Canis lupus familiaris: one gene and its partner. The protein of the gene in region 1 binds, or shares a complex with, the protein of each later gene. Links are inferred from orthologs where the notes say so. Each region holds a gene or a part of one and is shown on either strand. Other genes may lie near its edges.

The links.
Region 2: the proteins of CAPZA2 (region 1) and S100A1 are in contact, whole or in part, in an NMR structure (PDB 2KBM), measured with the Rattus norvegicus proteins. The link is inferred for Canis lupus familiaris from reciprocal best matches to the Homo sapiens genes CAPZA2 and S100A1. Residues at the interface, in NP_001009180.1 of Rattus norvegicus: Thr267, Lys268, Ile269, Asp270, Trp271, Asn272, Lys273, Ile274, Leu275, Ser276; in NP_001007637.1 of Rattus norvegicus: Ser44, Phe45, Leu46, Asp47, Lys50, Asp51, Ala54, Lys57, Ile58, Glu61, Leu78, Ala81, Leu82, Thr83, Ala85, Cys86.

What each region holds. Positions count from the first base shown.
Region 1 is NC_049235.1:55,950,256-55,957,037, reverse strand, and holds the end of CAPZA2 (F-actin-capping protein subunit alpha-2), read right to left. Parts: intron 5,680-6,782; coding exon 5,617-5,679; intron 4,507-5,616; coding exon 4,366-4,506; 3' UTR 3,005-4,365; downstream 1-3,004. UniProt on the Homo sapiens protein: F-actin-capping proteins bind in a Ca(2+)-independent manner to the fast growing ends of actin filaments (barbed end) thereby blocking the exchange of subunits at these ends.
Region 2 is NC_049228.1:43,416,921-43,424,646, reverse strand, and holds S100A1 (protein S100-A1), read left to right. Parts: upstream 1-2,892; 5' UTR 2,893-3,014; intron 3,015-4,948; 5' UTR 4,949-4,960; coding exon 4,961-5,101; intron 5,102-6,374; coding exon of another isoform or gene 6,375-6,382; exon of another isoform or gene 6,383-6,397; coding exon 6,398-6,541; 3' UTR 6,542-6,685; downstream 6,686-7,726. Other genes in the region: S100A13 (protein S100-A13), read right to left, coding at 376-453, 975-1,065, 1,302-1,461, 6,375-6,382. UniProt on the Homo sapiens protein: Small calcium binding protein that plays important roles in several biological processes such as Ca(2+) homeostasis, chondrocyte biology and cardiomyocyte regulation.

The DNA of each region.
Region 1 (6,782 bases):
TCTAGCCAGTCTGCATGAAAAAAAATCTTTATTCTGTTACTTTCATACTACACAAAAGTAACTGATAGTTTTTAACACTATATTAAAACTGACATTGATGTACCTGGGTGGCTCAGAGGTTGAACGTCTGCCTTCAGCCCAGGGCATGACCCCGGGGTCCTGGGATCGAGTTCCGCACCGAGCTCCCCATAGGGAACCTGCTTCTCCCTCTGCCTGTGTTTCTCTCTCTCATGAATAAATCTAATCTTAAAAAAAAAAAAAACTGCAAAAGGGGCACCTGGGTGGCTTAGTGGTTGGTGTCTGCCTTTGGCTCAGGTCGTGATCCCAGGGTCCTGGATTGAGTCCCGCACCGGGCTCCCCTGCAAGGGAGCCTGCTTCTTCCTCTGCCCATGTCTCTGCCTCTCATGAATAAATTAAAAAAAAAAAAAAAAAACTGACATTAACTACCACAATTTTCTTAGATTACACTAAAATTAGGGATAAAATGTTCTAGTATCTTATTAGCTCTACTCTAGTTCATAAGAACATTTTTAATTTTACCTTTTCTGTTGACTTCATTTTTATACTGTGGTATGTGTAAAAACAAAACAATGTTATTTAGTTTTCAAATGTATAATGCTATATCTGATCCACAACTATCAGGGAGCTATTCAAGAAACCGATTAGCTATATTTTGATGTTTCAAGATATGAGAGGATTTCCTGCCTACTGTTACACACATACTTAACAAAAAATCTTAAGTGTGCTGAAGTAGAGTTTGCATTCTTTTCCAGGAAAACTTCCTTAGGTGGTCATTTCTTTAAAAGCTACTGTAGGTTAAGTTAGGCCTGAAGTTTATCTTGTAAATCCACTTATTTGTGTTACCCCTAGCACACCTACTACGTAAATAGGCTCAAGGCGTACGGAGATAGGAGGCCCCTCGAGCCTTAGAGCAGTTGGCAAGCAGCCATTTCTCCCAAAATGCCTTACAAGTATCATCACTTTCTATATCTTTTGTGATGTTAAAAATTTAGAGAACACTACACATACCCATGACTACTTTATAGATTCTTTAAAGAAATAACTTTATATTTTCCTGACTCTACAATGCCTAGAATGGTTCTCTGGAAACAGTGTGATTAATCTTAAATGATTTGACGTTAATTTCTAATACCAATTAGACCTTAAAAGTTTCACTGGTTATTTTAATTTTAATTGAATATTTTGAATATTCTCCAATAGCTGGCACCACTGGTCAATCCTACAATAAAGCTTTTGCATAATACTCAGAATATCAAATGTGAAGATGTCTATACAAAGTCATGCCTTTAAAATTTTTTCAGTTTCAAGGACAAAAATACTAAACTTAGGAATAGCAAGTACATTGCGATGCTGCTTTTAAATATCTAACCTAGGGAAGTGAAAAGAAATGCACATTCTTCTTGGGATGTTTCACAACACACATGCATTACAAAACACCTGTGTTACCTGCAGGCAAAATATGCCTTTATATTTTATACCCACTACCTGGCAAAGGCACAAAATGATTATCAGCATGAAGATCTTTTCAAAGGATCTTGCATCATTCCAAAGCTTTTGGTGTAATTAAGTAAAAAAATTATTTTAACCACAGAAAATGCCACCCAAAAGCAATGGAATGACCTCTAGTCATCTTTAATTAGTTTCCTAAGAATTTCACTTTTCAAGAACATTTTTAATGAACCAGGACTTCCAGAATACCTTTTTATATATGCTTCTGTTCTCATTTTAGTTTCTAAAATCCCAAATGAAGAAAAACCTCATGAGTATCTTTACCATATTATTTACTTAACTCATACAAATGTATTATAAATGTCGAGATGTAGTCTTGAAAAACAGCACTCATGTCAGAATACTTACTTCTACCGTAATTCTTGATTTCAGTACCCCATAGCGACCCCAGGCTTCACAGCTACTTGAACTCCTCTCCTCTCCTACCTCAGCCAGTCACTCCCTTGATCCTAATATCATTAGGAGTAAGTATAACTCCTCAAAATCTCAATTTTTAACACATCACCCTAACCACCACTCATTGCTTTCTAGTACGCTAACTCTAACCTATGTAATCTACTGATTGTGCCACACTTTCTCTGCTCCTCTCCTGGCCTCATTTCTCTCCCTTACCTAAGCTTACGTTCTTAGAGGTTATCGTTGCAACCTTGCCCCGTTCCCATGGTGAGTCAGCCTCTCTTGGCAAAACCACAACCTTGGTTCAACTCCTCTACTCTGTGCCTGCACCGTGCAGCTTTAACGTGCTTAACAGAGCGGACTCCCTTGGTGTCACGTTACATCATCACTAACCTTGAGTTGGACTTCATTTTGCCTGGCTACCAAACCCTGTGACCCAGGTCCATTCATTCCACTGTTTCTTCAGCCCAGAGGACCACTCTACCTCCTGTTTTCAGTATCTAACTGCTACATGGTATTTCCCCTTGAAATCGAAAACTGAGCTCCTGACCAACCCTTCTGCTGACCCTGAATTTCCCCCAATTTCTCAACCCCAAAATGTCTCTGGCATTCTTCATCTCATATTCTGCAACCAAACTTTCAGCAAATCTTTTTTATTTTACCTTTAACACATATCCAGAACTCACCACCTCTATAGACTATAGCTACCACCTCAGACCAGGTCAGCATTTGCTCTCAACTAGATTACTGCAGTAGCCTCCTAACTGTTCCCCTAATTTTACCCTTGCCTCTGTACTTCACCCTTAAATCATCACCTTAAAGACAAATGCATGTATTTTCAAGATCACATTCTAGGGCCATAAAACATCCAAAGTAACTGACCTGTAGGGGATAAAACCCACGATAGTCCAAATGATATGACTGAACAAGCCAATTAAAGATTTACCTAGTGTTCAGTTCAGAATCATGACTTTGGAAAATGCCTATTTAAAAAGGGAAGAGAAAATTAACATTGCTAATTCATTTTCTTCAGAAATCCCAATATGGCAAAACTAAGAGAAAACAATTTAACCAAACTCAAATTTCATATTAAGTTCTCAGTGTTTTCAAAGCCCAAGCCTGATTTTTAAAAAGAAATTAAATGACATGCTTTGAGAAAAGTTTTAAATTCTATACAATTCAAGCTAATGAAATATTTTATTGTACATAATAAAAGTGGTGTTTTTAAAAAAACACTTCCAGGCCCAGACATCTCCAAGAGTATGTGAGGAAGAGATTCCACTGGAGTATAGTAAGCAATACTCGATTGAATGAAACCATAAATCCACCCCACTCTCTATAGTAAATATTAACATTCACCACAGGTTTGAAATTCCTGTAGCATCAGTAAATGTATATTTTAAAATATTACAAACACGCTTATGATGCATAAGATGGAAAAATTTAGACTGTAATGCACACCATATGTACTCCCAGCTTCTCTAATTTACAACCAGTTAAGAATCACAATATCCAAAGAAAGTATTTTAAAATAGTATATGACTCACTGATAAGGGATATTCTACTCAAATAAATAGGAAAATTTCCATTTTAATGTCACATTGAATTTCAGTACTTTTCAATCCAAGAAAAGAAATAAACTGAGACATGGTCATGAGTTCAGGATTATATATATTACAATTTGCCTTGTTATAATACATTTGTGGCTTTATGATAAAAATAACTCAGGGACATATGGAGTTCAAGCTAATTTGCGTAACTGTCACAAGAAAAAAAGCATTAAATGCATTTCTGAAATAAGTATTTCCATTTAATTTCAGAATCTCAAAACAGCATTAGACCTTGGCCTCATTTAAAAAAAGTTTAGTTAAACACTAAGCTAGCTAAATAACCTTCTTCAAAGTTCAAACACAATTGATATAGAAAATGCTTTCCCTCTAATCTCAATCTTACATAAATGGAAGAGGTGAGGGGAAAAGGTAGACAATTTCTTTAGCAGCATATATGGCTAAATCCATCAACCACCTTAAACTAGAATGTCCATTATTAACCCCATTAAAAAGAACTGGGCAAATATCAAAAGTTGCCCACTTCGTAAACCAAAAGACAACAACTTTAGGGTTACGATAAGTAAAATATTTTTGAAACACTTCAAAAACTTTTAACATTAAACTAGAGGAATCATCTCTTAATTATAAGAAAGAAAGGTATAACAGAAAGTAAAAGACATTTAAACTAATTGTCCTCTTTGAACAAAAGAAATGAAAAATAACGGTTGATTAGCTAAGCTTTGTGCTCTAACCAAACTAATTAATTACAGTGATTTTAAATGGCAACAGCCCATCTGACTGGGTAGCTTGACAGTTCTGAATACTTTTTGCAATGATTTTTTTTTTAAACGCAAAAACATTAAAATGATCCGGTCATGCAATGTTCATCTTATGCATTCTGCATCTCTTTGCCAATCTTGTAGCTAAGGATCTTGTTCCAATCAATCTTCGTGCGTGTAACTGGCAACTGTCGACGTAAGGCTTTGAAAGTAGTGTCCGACATTGTCTGATAATTCTCACTGATGGCGGTCTATGAAAAATAGTAGTTAAAAGTTTAAGAAATAAAAGGAACAGATCAATTTATACAACACATAGATGTTTTAGAAAAACCTTTATTTAACCAGCTTATTTCACTGTTTTTAAAAAGTAAAAAAAAAAAAAAAAAAAAAAAAAAAGTCAAAAACCCCAATGTGGTTTTGGAAACTGTTTAAAAAGCAGCTAAAAGGGATGCCTGAGTAGCTCAGAGGTGGAGTATCTGCCATCCACTCAGGGCTTGATCCCGGAGTCCCGGGATCAAGTTCCACATTGGGCTCCCCACGGGGAGCCTCCTTCTCCCTCTGCCTGTGTCTCTCATGAATAAGTTAAAAAAAATCTTAAAAAAAACAAAACAAAACAAAAAAAAAACCAAGCAGCTAAGAGAGGGGCGCCTGGGTGGCTCAGTCAGTTAAGTGTCCAACTCCTATTCTTGGCTCAGGTTTGGATTTCATGGTCATGAGTTCAAGAATCATGTGCTATACTGACTTAGCCAGCCAGAACCTCCTAAAAGAAAAAAGCCTATAATTGTTTTGGATAATTTAATGAAATGAAATTGTAAATTGGATTTAATATTTGTGTGTTCTCATTTTGGATCTATTTTACTATTTCACTCAAAACAATTTTATATATTATTGTTTCCAAGAAGCAGAAATGTGGCGAATCCACAAATTAAATGTGTAAGTTCAAGAGTACGGTTTAAAAGCTGATAAAAAAAATGTAAAAAATAAGAGTATAAAGTGAAATAAGATCTGACCAGATTACACATAATCTAAATACTTTGGGAAATACTTCATAAATTAAAATTTCCAATCAAAAACAAAATAACCATTTAAAATCTTGGCATATTATGACCAATACTCAGATATTACTGTTGGCTAAAACTGAATTTTGGCCACATTTTTATAAGTTTGCCACTGAATTAAAAACAAGTAAACAAAAAAACCCAAAAAAGATTGTTTTATTATAGTGAAATAAATGAAAAAAATTCAGGCTCATAACTGAAATTCAGTGCCATTATTATAACTTCAGTTATAAACTTCAGTATTAAAACTTCAGTGCCATTATTTATAAGCAAATATAAATCATGTACTTTTGAAAAACATACCTGGTATTCATTTTCTGCAGCTTCTACAATCTTTATAAATTCTTTTGCTGTCTGCACCTCATTCTGAATGAAAAACAAAACAAAAAGTAACTATTTACTTTAAAACAACACCACTATTTAAGTTTCCCATTTGAGTATAAATGAGTGTTACTGTAGTTTCAGTTGTACAACAAACATAGTGATTTAACAAGTTTGCACACTATGCTATGCTCACAAGTGTAGCTACCATCTGTCACCATACAATGCTATTATAGTATCATTGACTATATTTCTTACTGTGTCTTTTATTCCCGTGACTTACTCATTCCATAACTAGAAACCTATTTTTCCATGACTCCTCACCATTTTGCCTTTCTCCCACTCCTGCTTCCTGTCAATCATCAGTTTGTTCTCTGTATTTATATCTGCTTTTTGTTTGTTTCCCCCCCTTATTTCACTTAGCATAAGTGAAATACAAATAGCACAATCTCATCCTTTTTATGGCTGTGTAATATTCCATTGTGTGTATGTATATAGAATTATAGATATACAACTGTGTGTATGTCTCCCACATCTTCCTTATCCATTCGTCTACTGGTGGATACTTAGATTGGTTCCATATCTTGTCTATTGAAATAATGTTGCAATAAACATTCCTAGATCTTTTCCAATTCATGTTTTCATCATCTTTGGGTAAATACCCAGCAGTGGAATTACTAAATCATATGGTATTTCTATTTTTAACTTTTTGAGGAACTTCCATACTGTTTTCCACAGTGGCCACCAGCTTGCATTCCCACCAACGCATGAGGGTTCCTTTTCTTCCACATCCTTGCCAACACTAAATATTTCTTCTTGTCTTTTTGATTTTAGCCATTCTGACAGGTGAAAGGTGATATGTCATTGTAGTATTGATTTACATTTCAGTCATGTTGAGTGATGTTGAGCATCTCTTCGTGTGTCTGTTGGCCATCTGTGTGTCTTTAAAAAAATGTCTATTCAGGTCCTCCACCCATTCTTAAAAACTTGTTTTTTGGGTGTTGAGTTGTCTACCTTTTTTTTTTTTTTTTTTTTTATGAGAGACCCAGAGAGAGAGGGAAAGACACAGGCAGAGAAGCAGTCTCCCCTGCAGAGAGTTTGATCCAAGACTCAATCCCAGGACCCTGAGATCACGACCTGACCCAAAG
Region 2 (7,726 bases), on another chromosome or scaffold:
TCTCTCTCTCTCTCTCATGAATAAATAAAAAAATAAAATCTTAAAAAAAAAAAAAAAGACTCAAGGGAGTTGATTGAGCCTTAGGACCCCTCTGGGTGAGAAGAGAATGAGGACAGGCGGGGATTGCATGGGAAAGAAAATGTGGTGGTCCCCACAGAGTCGGGGAAATGCTGGAGTGGATGAACAGAGCTGGAATGGCAGGTGGTGGTGCTCACGGAAAAAGAGTGGCTGTTCTGAAGCAGGACAGAATCTTTGAAGGTGAGGGGTTGATGAAGTGTGAAGGCCCAGGTGTTGGATGAATTTTCTGTGTGCAGACCGAGGGCCACAATGAAAGCAGTGGTGAGAAACTAACTGCAAGGCAGGAGCTGAACTTACAAGGAATGTAGGAAAAGGGGGGCAGGTGGCCCATGAGCTTCCAAGGAGCTGTGCATCTTAGGAAGAAGAAACCAAGATCTGGAAGCAGTGACAAAAAGCAAAGAGGTCACTTCTTGCATCTCCAGGCCCAGAGGGAGTTGGAGGGAAAACCAGTCATTATGTGGTAAGGCCGTAGGGAATGTCACACCTCCTGTGGAGTCTCAAGTCTCCTGGAAGAAGACGAAGGGAAAGGTCTGAGAAGTCTAAGACTGTAGGGGGTTTGTGGATGATAGACTGAGCTTCCAAGACTAGTTTTTTGTTTTTTGTTTTAATCCATATGCACACACTTCATTTGCCAGTGAATTCTCAGAAAGGGTGTAAAAGAAACTGTTAACAGCCTGGGATGATTAGGCAACCCAAGTGGACGAACTCTAAATTCCTACTCTGTCCACCAAGTGGGAGAGAAAGAATGACCTTATCAGGGTCATTATTAAGGGGATTCCCAGAGGGAGTGAGAAGTAGCCAATGGTTACTTACAGGTCCCTCCTACCCTGAGCTTTTATCACTACTTTATTATTTTTGGCAAATCCCTTTCTGCAGCTGGGCCTCAGTTTCCGTACATGTGAAGTGAGGCGTTTGGACTGTCTTCTCTTGGCCTCCTTCTAGCACTGATGGTCTACAACTCTCCCAGAAGCACCTTTGGGTCCACTCCTATAGTGGGGGAATGAGACCAGAGAAGCACAGAGTAGACACAAGTGCCCACAGCACCATTTGAGGGTAGCACACTTGCATGCTCACCAACACAGCCACTGAGCTACACACACAGTCACTCAAACCCTGTGTTCACAGTATTGTGTCAGGAATATCACCTCACACCCACAGGATCCTGTAGCCACTGTCTCCTAAAGTCTCAGGCCCAGAGACGCCCACATAAGACCCCCACATACCTTGAGCAAGTGAGGCAACTGCTGAGTGACCAGTTCCCTAAACTCATGGATGCTGAGGCTGCCCTTCCGGCCCTCCTGCCCTGCAAAGGTGAAGAAGGTGGTGACCACTGTCTCAATGGCGGCCTCCAGCTCCGTCAGGGGCTCCGCTGCCATCAGGACTCTGCAGGACAGGAAAGGAGGGAAAGGCAGAGTCAGAACAGACCCAAGGGAGGGATCCCTGGGTGGCGCAGCGGTTTGGCGCCTGCCTTTGGCCCAGGGCGCGATCCTGGAGACCCGGGATCGAATCCCACGTCGGGCTCCTGGTGCATGGAGCCTGCTTCTCCCTCTTCCTGTGTCTCTGCCTCTCTCTTTCTCTCTCTCACTGTGTGCCTATCATAAATAAATTTAAAAAAAAAAATTAAAAAAAAAAAAAAGAAAAAAAAAAAGAACAGACCCAAGGGCCCCTGCCGGGGCATTGCCACCTCGGCCGGCCTGGGAGAAGAATTACAGGGAAGCAACGGGGAGGGGGCGGGGACAGGGATGGAGATGCGGAGCAGGAAAGGGTGGACGCGGCGGGGGAAGGGAGGTGGCGCTCAGAAACTGGTTCTCCCCAGCTCCTGGGGACCCTCTGCGTGGTCTGAGCGGAGGCCCGGCGGAGTGGCCTCTCCGTAGGCTTCAGTCCCAGGGCTCTTCCTGGGAGGCTCCTCCGGCCCCCGGAGCCCAGGAGGCTGTCTCCTGGCCTGTGTGCGCAGGGACCCCTGCCACCCCGCCCACACCCGGGGTCAGGCCTGGGGACCCCGCCCGGCGGCCTCTTCCCGCCCTCCCCTCCGAGCACTGCCCTCCTGGCTCAGGGACGGCCCCGGGCGCAGCGCGGGGACGCGGGACTTACGGCTGCCGGGCCAGGGGCAGGTGGGCGGTGGGCGCCGGGACCGCAGGGACCGCAGGGACCGCAGGGCGGGAGGCAGCAGAGGCCCGGCCCGGAGGTGTCCTGCCTCCGCCTGGATGCTGGAGGGAGTCTCCGCCCAGGCCCGCCCCGCCCCCGCCTCCCCGGCTCCCCCGCCTCGCCTGCCCCCAGTGGCCCCCCGTGGCCCCTCAGCCTCCGGGTGCGACCTCAGCAGGGGGAGGCGGTAGGGAGCCGCTTGGCCCTCTCCGCTCTGCGGCCTGAAGGACTGAGTGTGCGGTCCGAGAAGCACCGCAGAGAACCCCCCCCCCCCATGCGATCCTGAGAAGGACCTCGCAGCCCAAGACCCCTGAGAGGGGGACCCCGCTGAGACCTCCGCGGAGGAAGATTAGGACTCAAACCTCTGAGGGGGTGTCAGGCCGGGGGCCCCCCAGCCAGACTCCCGAGATGAAGTGATTGACGGAGAGGCCCCCTTCCTGAGAGCCCTCGTTAGGATCAGGATCGTCCCTCTCCTGTCTGCCAGGACCTTTCCCACCTCCCTTCCTCCTGTCCTCCCGGGCCCTGCCTGGGGGACCGTGGGGGAGGGGAAGCCAGTGAGGCTGGACAGGACACAGGGCAACCTGTTCCAGCTCGGGAGACAGAGGGCGCCTCTGTCCACTCTGGGCCCCTTGGCCCCCTGGGTGTCTGTCTGGGAAGGGGTGGAGCCGGTGGGAAGGGGGGGGCAGCGGGAGAAGGCCTGAAGACTAGTCTCCCCACACAGCTCCGTTAACCACATTTGCAGACTGTCCATCTGTCCAGAACCTGCCCCCACCTCAGGTCCAGGCTGACTGACGGTGAGTGTCCTGCACCCTGTGTGCTGGGTCTCTGCTGTGGCCAGCTTAGGGGGAGAGGGGGCTTGGATGGGGCTCCCAAAGTCTGGGGTGGGAAGAAATGGTCTGGGAAGAGTTCCAGGGACAGCAGTTTGGGATTTGGGAGAGACAAGGTGCGGATGGTAGTGCAGGGAAGCCAGTGGAGGTCAGAGGGAGGTGTGCAGTGTTCCTCAGAGAACGAAGAAGCCAGTGGGGAAACCAGACACCAAGCTTCCTTGGAGCCCTCCAAAGTTCCCTCAATCTCCCAGGGGCTGGGGGTGGGGTGGGAAGGGCAGCCCCCACATTGCTTCCAGTTGGGTAAGCAGAAGAAAGCAAATGGAACTGTTGCTTCTGCCCCCACCTGACCGTCCCCTAGCCTTGCCAAGAACTCAGGTCCCAGGGAAGTCTGGGGGTGGCAGAGCGTGGACCACGTGAGATCAAGAGGAGGGGGCATTCAGGTCCTGCACCCACTCCCAACTCTCCTCTCACATGACCTTGCCTTTCCCCTCCTCCTTCTTTGGCCCAGATTTCCAAACTCCTCTTTCCTTCAACTCTTTCCTTTTGTTTTGCTGTGTGCCACCCCCCACCCCCTGCCCAAGTCCTCTCCAAATGCCCCCCACATAAAATCCCAGGCTGCTCAAGTGCCCCTACTGGATGGGGCCAATAATGGGGCCACCGACAGCCAACCTCTTCTCTCCATCAGCCTCAGCTTGGGTTCCATCTCCCCACATCTCTTTGACAACTGTTCCTCGTGTCCAGAGTTCAGGTGACACTCACAAGGCTCCCATTGTAAAGATGGAATGTCATTCGATCAGGGCCCATTGTTCAGCCCTCAGGCCTGGGGGAGGACAAAGACATTTGATCTGAGATACCAGAGCTGTCCCCTGAGGCTGCAGAGGGGATGACCATCCCAAGACCAAAAGAAAGAGACCCAGTGGCATGGCAGTCCCCTTCCTCAACAAAGCCTTCCGTGTCCCTCTTCTCACCAGCCTCTGGAATTCAGAGGACACACTCAGCCTTTCATGTCCCCCAATACATGGCTCGATTCTCCTACAAACTGTCCTCACATCATCCAGGCTGGGCCTAGGTGGGGGAGTGAGCAGCAAGAGGGACCAGGCCCCAGAGGCCTCCTCTCACCTTCACTGGTAGCCCTGGCTCTGGGGAAAGGCTTGGCCATTCCTCTCTCCCTTCCCACCATCACTTGATGTAAGGCCTGATTCTGCAGAGAAGTAGGAGGAACCAAACTAGAGGTAATGGAGGTGCACCCCAGCACAGCTGAAGCGACCTGTTGAGGACAGAGCAGAGTTGAAAGACCAAAAGAGGCCTGTCTGCCAACAGGAAGCTTAGAGGCAGTTAGATCCCCCTCCTGCATGAAGCCTTAGGCCAGCCACTCTGGCTGACTCCATCAGGCTGGCTGAGGGCGTCAGACTGATTCCTTGCTAGGAGCAGACAGCAGAATCAAGGCTGTGGGGAGGAACGAAGCCCACCACCCTCAGCAGCAGAGCTGGGCTGTGCTAGGCAAGCAGAGCAGAGTAAAAATAGAGCCAGAGAAAGCTTGGCAGTGTCCTGTGACCACTCCCGCCTGCCTGCCTCACCCTCCTCAGTGTCCACCTTGGCAGCCAGGAGCCACTGCAGAGGCCACTGGAGCCACTGCAGAGGTCCAGAGCTGCTCCACCTCCACCGCCCAAGCCCTGAGTCCCTCTGGCTGGGATATGGATTGAGGGAGAGAACAAGCCTGGAGGTAGGCCTGCTTGGGTTCCCACATTCTAAAGTCTCAGTGAGAGATAAAGTGCAGTGTGGCTCTGATCTCATGGCGGTTTCAGGTAAGGGACCAGGCCAGGTCTGAGGGCTCCCCTCACCCCAACCTCAGATACCCTGAGCATGGTCCCCTACTTACTTCCATGGTGGGGGGTGGGTAGGTGAGCTACGCAATGGGCTCTGAGCTGGAGACAGCGATGGAGACTCTCATCAATGTGTTCCATGCCCACTCGGGCAAGGAGGGAAACAAGTACAAGCTGAGCAAGAAGGAGCTAAAGGAGCTGCTGCAGACTGAGCTCTCCGGCTTCCTGGACGTGAGCACAGGGCAGGCGTACAGGGTGGTATGGGTGAGGGGAGGAGGAACACCTGGGGACCTCTCTGCCACCTTCCCACCCCACCCCCAACCCACTCCAATCATCTTCTTCCTCTGCCAGACTTCTCTCCTGGATTTTTCTGGGCTCCCATACTTATCTTGTTTCAAGACAAAAATACCCTAATTTGTTCATCTCCTGTTAAGTGCTAGAACCTGTGCAGATGCATCATTAAGAAGGCTCACAGTCTAGGAGGGAAAGACTGACATGAAAGTAAACCATGAACACTGGGAAGTGAACTATTGAGGACAGAGCAGTTGAAGGACCAAAAGAGGCCCCCAGTCTGCTGGCAGGAAACTCGGAAGCAATTAGACCCCCTCCCCATGAAGTCTCCGGCCAGCCACTTAGGAGCTACACAGAGCATTAACAGAATTGCCCGAAAGGATTATGGGACAATAGTAACCTGACTGAACGGGGCTTCTCCAAAGACGGGGCACTTGAGCTGTGGATTTCCTTTGGAATATTATTAGGGTAAATGTAGGCATTTTAGGAGGTATCTGCATAAACAAAAGCATGAAAAAAAAATATGGAGCACGCTCAGTAGTTTTGACCCGAATGAAAGATGCAGAAAAGTAGGCTGCAAATGCTGACAGGGGCTCTATGATACAGAAGCCAGTAGTAAGTGTAGTAAGTGCACCAGCTTCGAGGTTTTATCAGTCCTGGGGTTTCGGTTCTGATCCTGTCACCTTCCAGCTGTGTGAGTTGGGCACATTATTTAACCACCAACTGTTAATTTGTTTATTCCTCTAGCATTTGTGCTAGAATTAACAATTTTACAAGACAATGCTTGTAAAGCTTCGAGTGTACTACTCTTATATAAGCACTCACCATACGGTCATCAATGTTGTTATTACTCTGCCTTGTTAAGGAGCTTATTTGGTGGGTAACAGAAGGCCACAAGTGTTAGTTGTTTTTTGTTGTTTTTTTTTTAAGATTTTATTTATTTATTCATGAGAGACACACAGAGAGAAAGGCAGAGACACAGGCAGAGGGAGAAGCAGGCTCCATGCAGGGAGCCCTACGCGGGACTTGATCCCTGGACTCCAGGATCAGGCCCTGGACTGAAGGCAGCGCTAAACCGCTGAGCCACCTGGGCTGCCCAAGTGTTAAAGAGGATTCAGAACAGTCCCATAATTAGATGTAGTTCTCCCTCCTTCCTCCCAATCACCCACCTCCCTAGCCCAATTCCATACTATCTATCTCCCAATGTACCCACCTCTCCATCTCCTCCCTCCACAGGCCCAGAAGGATGCGGATGCTGTGGACAAGGTGATGAAAGAGCTAGATGAGAATGGAGATGGGGAGGTGGACTTCCAGGAGTATGTGGTGCTGGTGGCTGCCCTCACAGTGGCCTGTAACAACTTCTTCTGGGAAAACAGTTGAGCAGACACCCCCAGTGGCCAGCGTCCTTCCCCATCCCCCTGCTTCCCTCCCTACACTCCTACCCTTGCCCACCCTCCACCAAGGGCGCAAGAGTAGTGGGCCAGGCCTGCAACTCATCTTTCATTAAAGGCTCTTCTCTGGCCAGCTGCTGTCTGTCTCCTTTGGGGTCTGGAAGTGAGTGGGAAAGTCAAGGTTCCTCACTCCCAAGTCACCTTATTTGGTAAAGGATCTTATTGTGAGAGAGGTCAAGGGGACATTACATCTTCCTGGCTGAGGAATGCTCAAGGCCCAGGAAGGTAGGCATTCGAAGTTCCAGCTGCAAATGTAGGAGACTTCAGCTTCTCAGCTACAAAGCCAGAATTCCCCTTCAGTCTGCAGAGAATATTTACTGAGGACCTACCGTGCGCTAGACGTTGTGAAGGAGCGGTGAAGTTCAGTAAGGATGGCAGACCATCACACACGTGCAGGTGCTGGGAGGGAAACAAAAGACCCTGATGCACTTGCGCGCAGAAGAGTCAAAGAAGCGCCTGTGCCTCATTTGCCCAACCCCGGCGTGTTCCTACTGTGCACCCAGGCCCAGGGAAAGTCCCGAGTCGGTGTGCATGGAGGTGCACAGACTGGCGGATGGGGAGGGCATCATCAGGGGAACACGGACACAACGCCCACAGGGGTTTAACAATATTCAAGACGAGGAACAGAAACAGAAGCCCGGGCGTCCCTGGCTCTCCCGGGCTCGGGGCTCGGAGACAGCAGCAGGTGCTGCTCGGCCAGGGGCAGGGGGCACACCCCGCGCGCAGAGCTGCGGACGGCCGCCCTGAGCCAGGCCGAGGCGCCGCGAAGACAGAGCAACGGCTGTCTCCCCCGCCCCCGCGCGGGTCTCCGCGAGCCGGGCCGGCGCGCGCTAACCACGCCCCTCAGTGGGCGGGGCGAGTAGTGGCCCGGACCCCGCCTACTCTCCAGGGCTCCGCCCCAAGCCTCGCGCAGGCGTAGCGTTCAACGTCTCGCCCCCTAGCTGTGCGCGGATCTGACGTCTGACGCAATTGCGTCGACGCCATTTTAGCCGGTCCCAGTCGGCTCTGGGCGTGGCGGCCATTTTGTTTTGGACACCGAGCGGGAGGCGGCGGCGGCGGCTGTGGTGGCACCGACACAAGGCAGGAAAGGGCAGGCCGGGCAAGCAGGCGGACC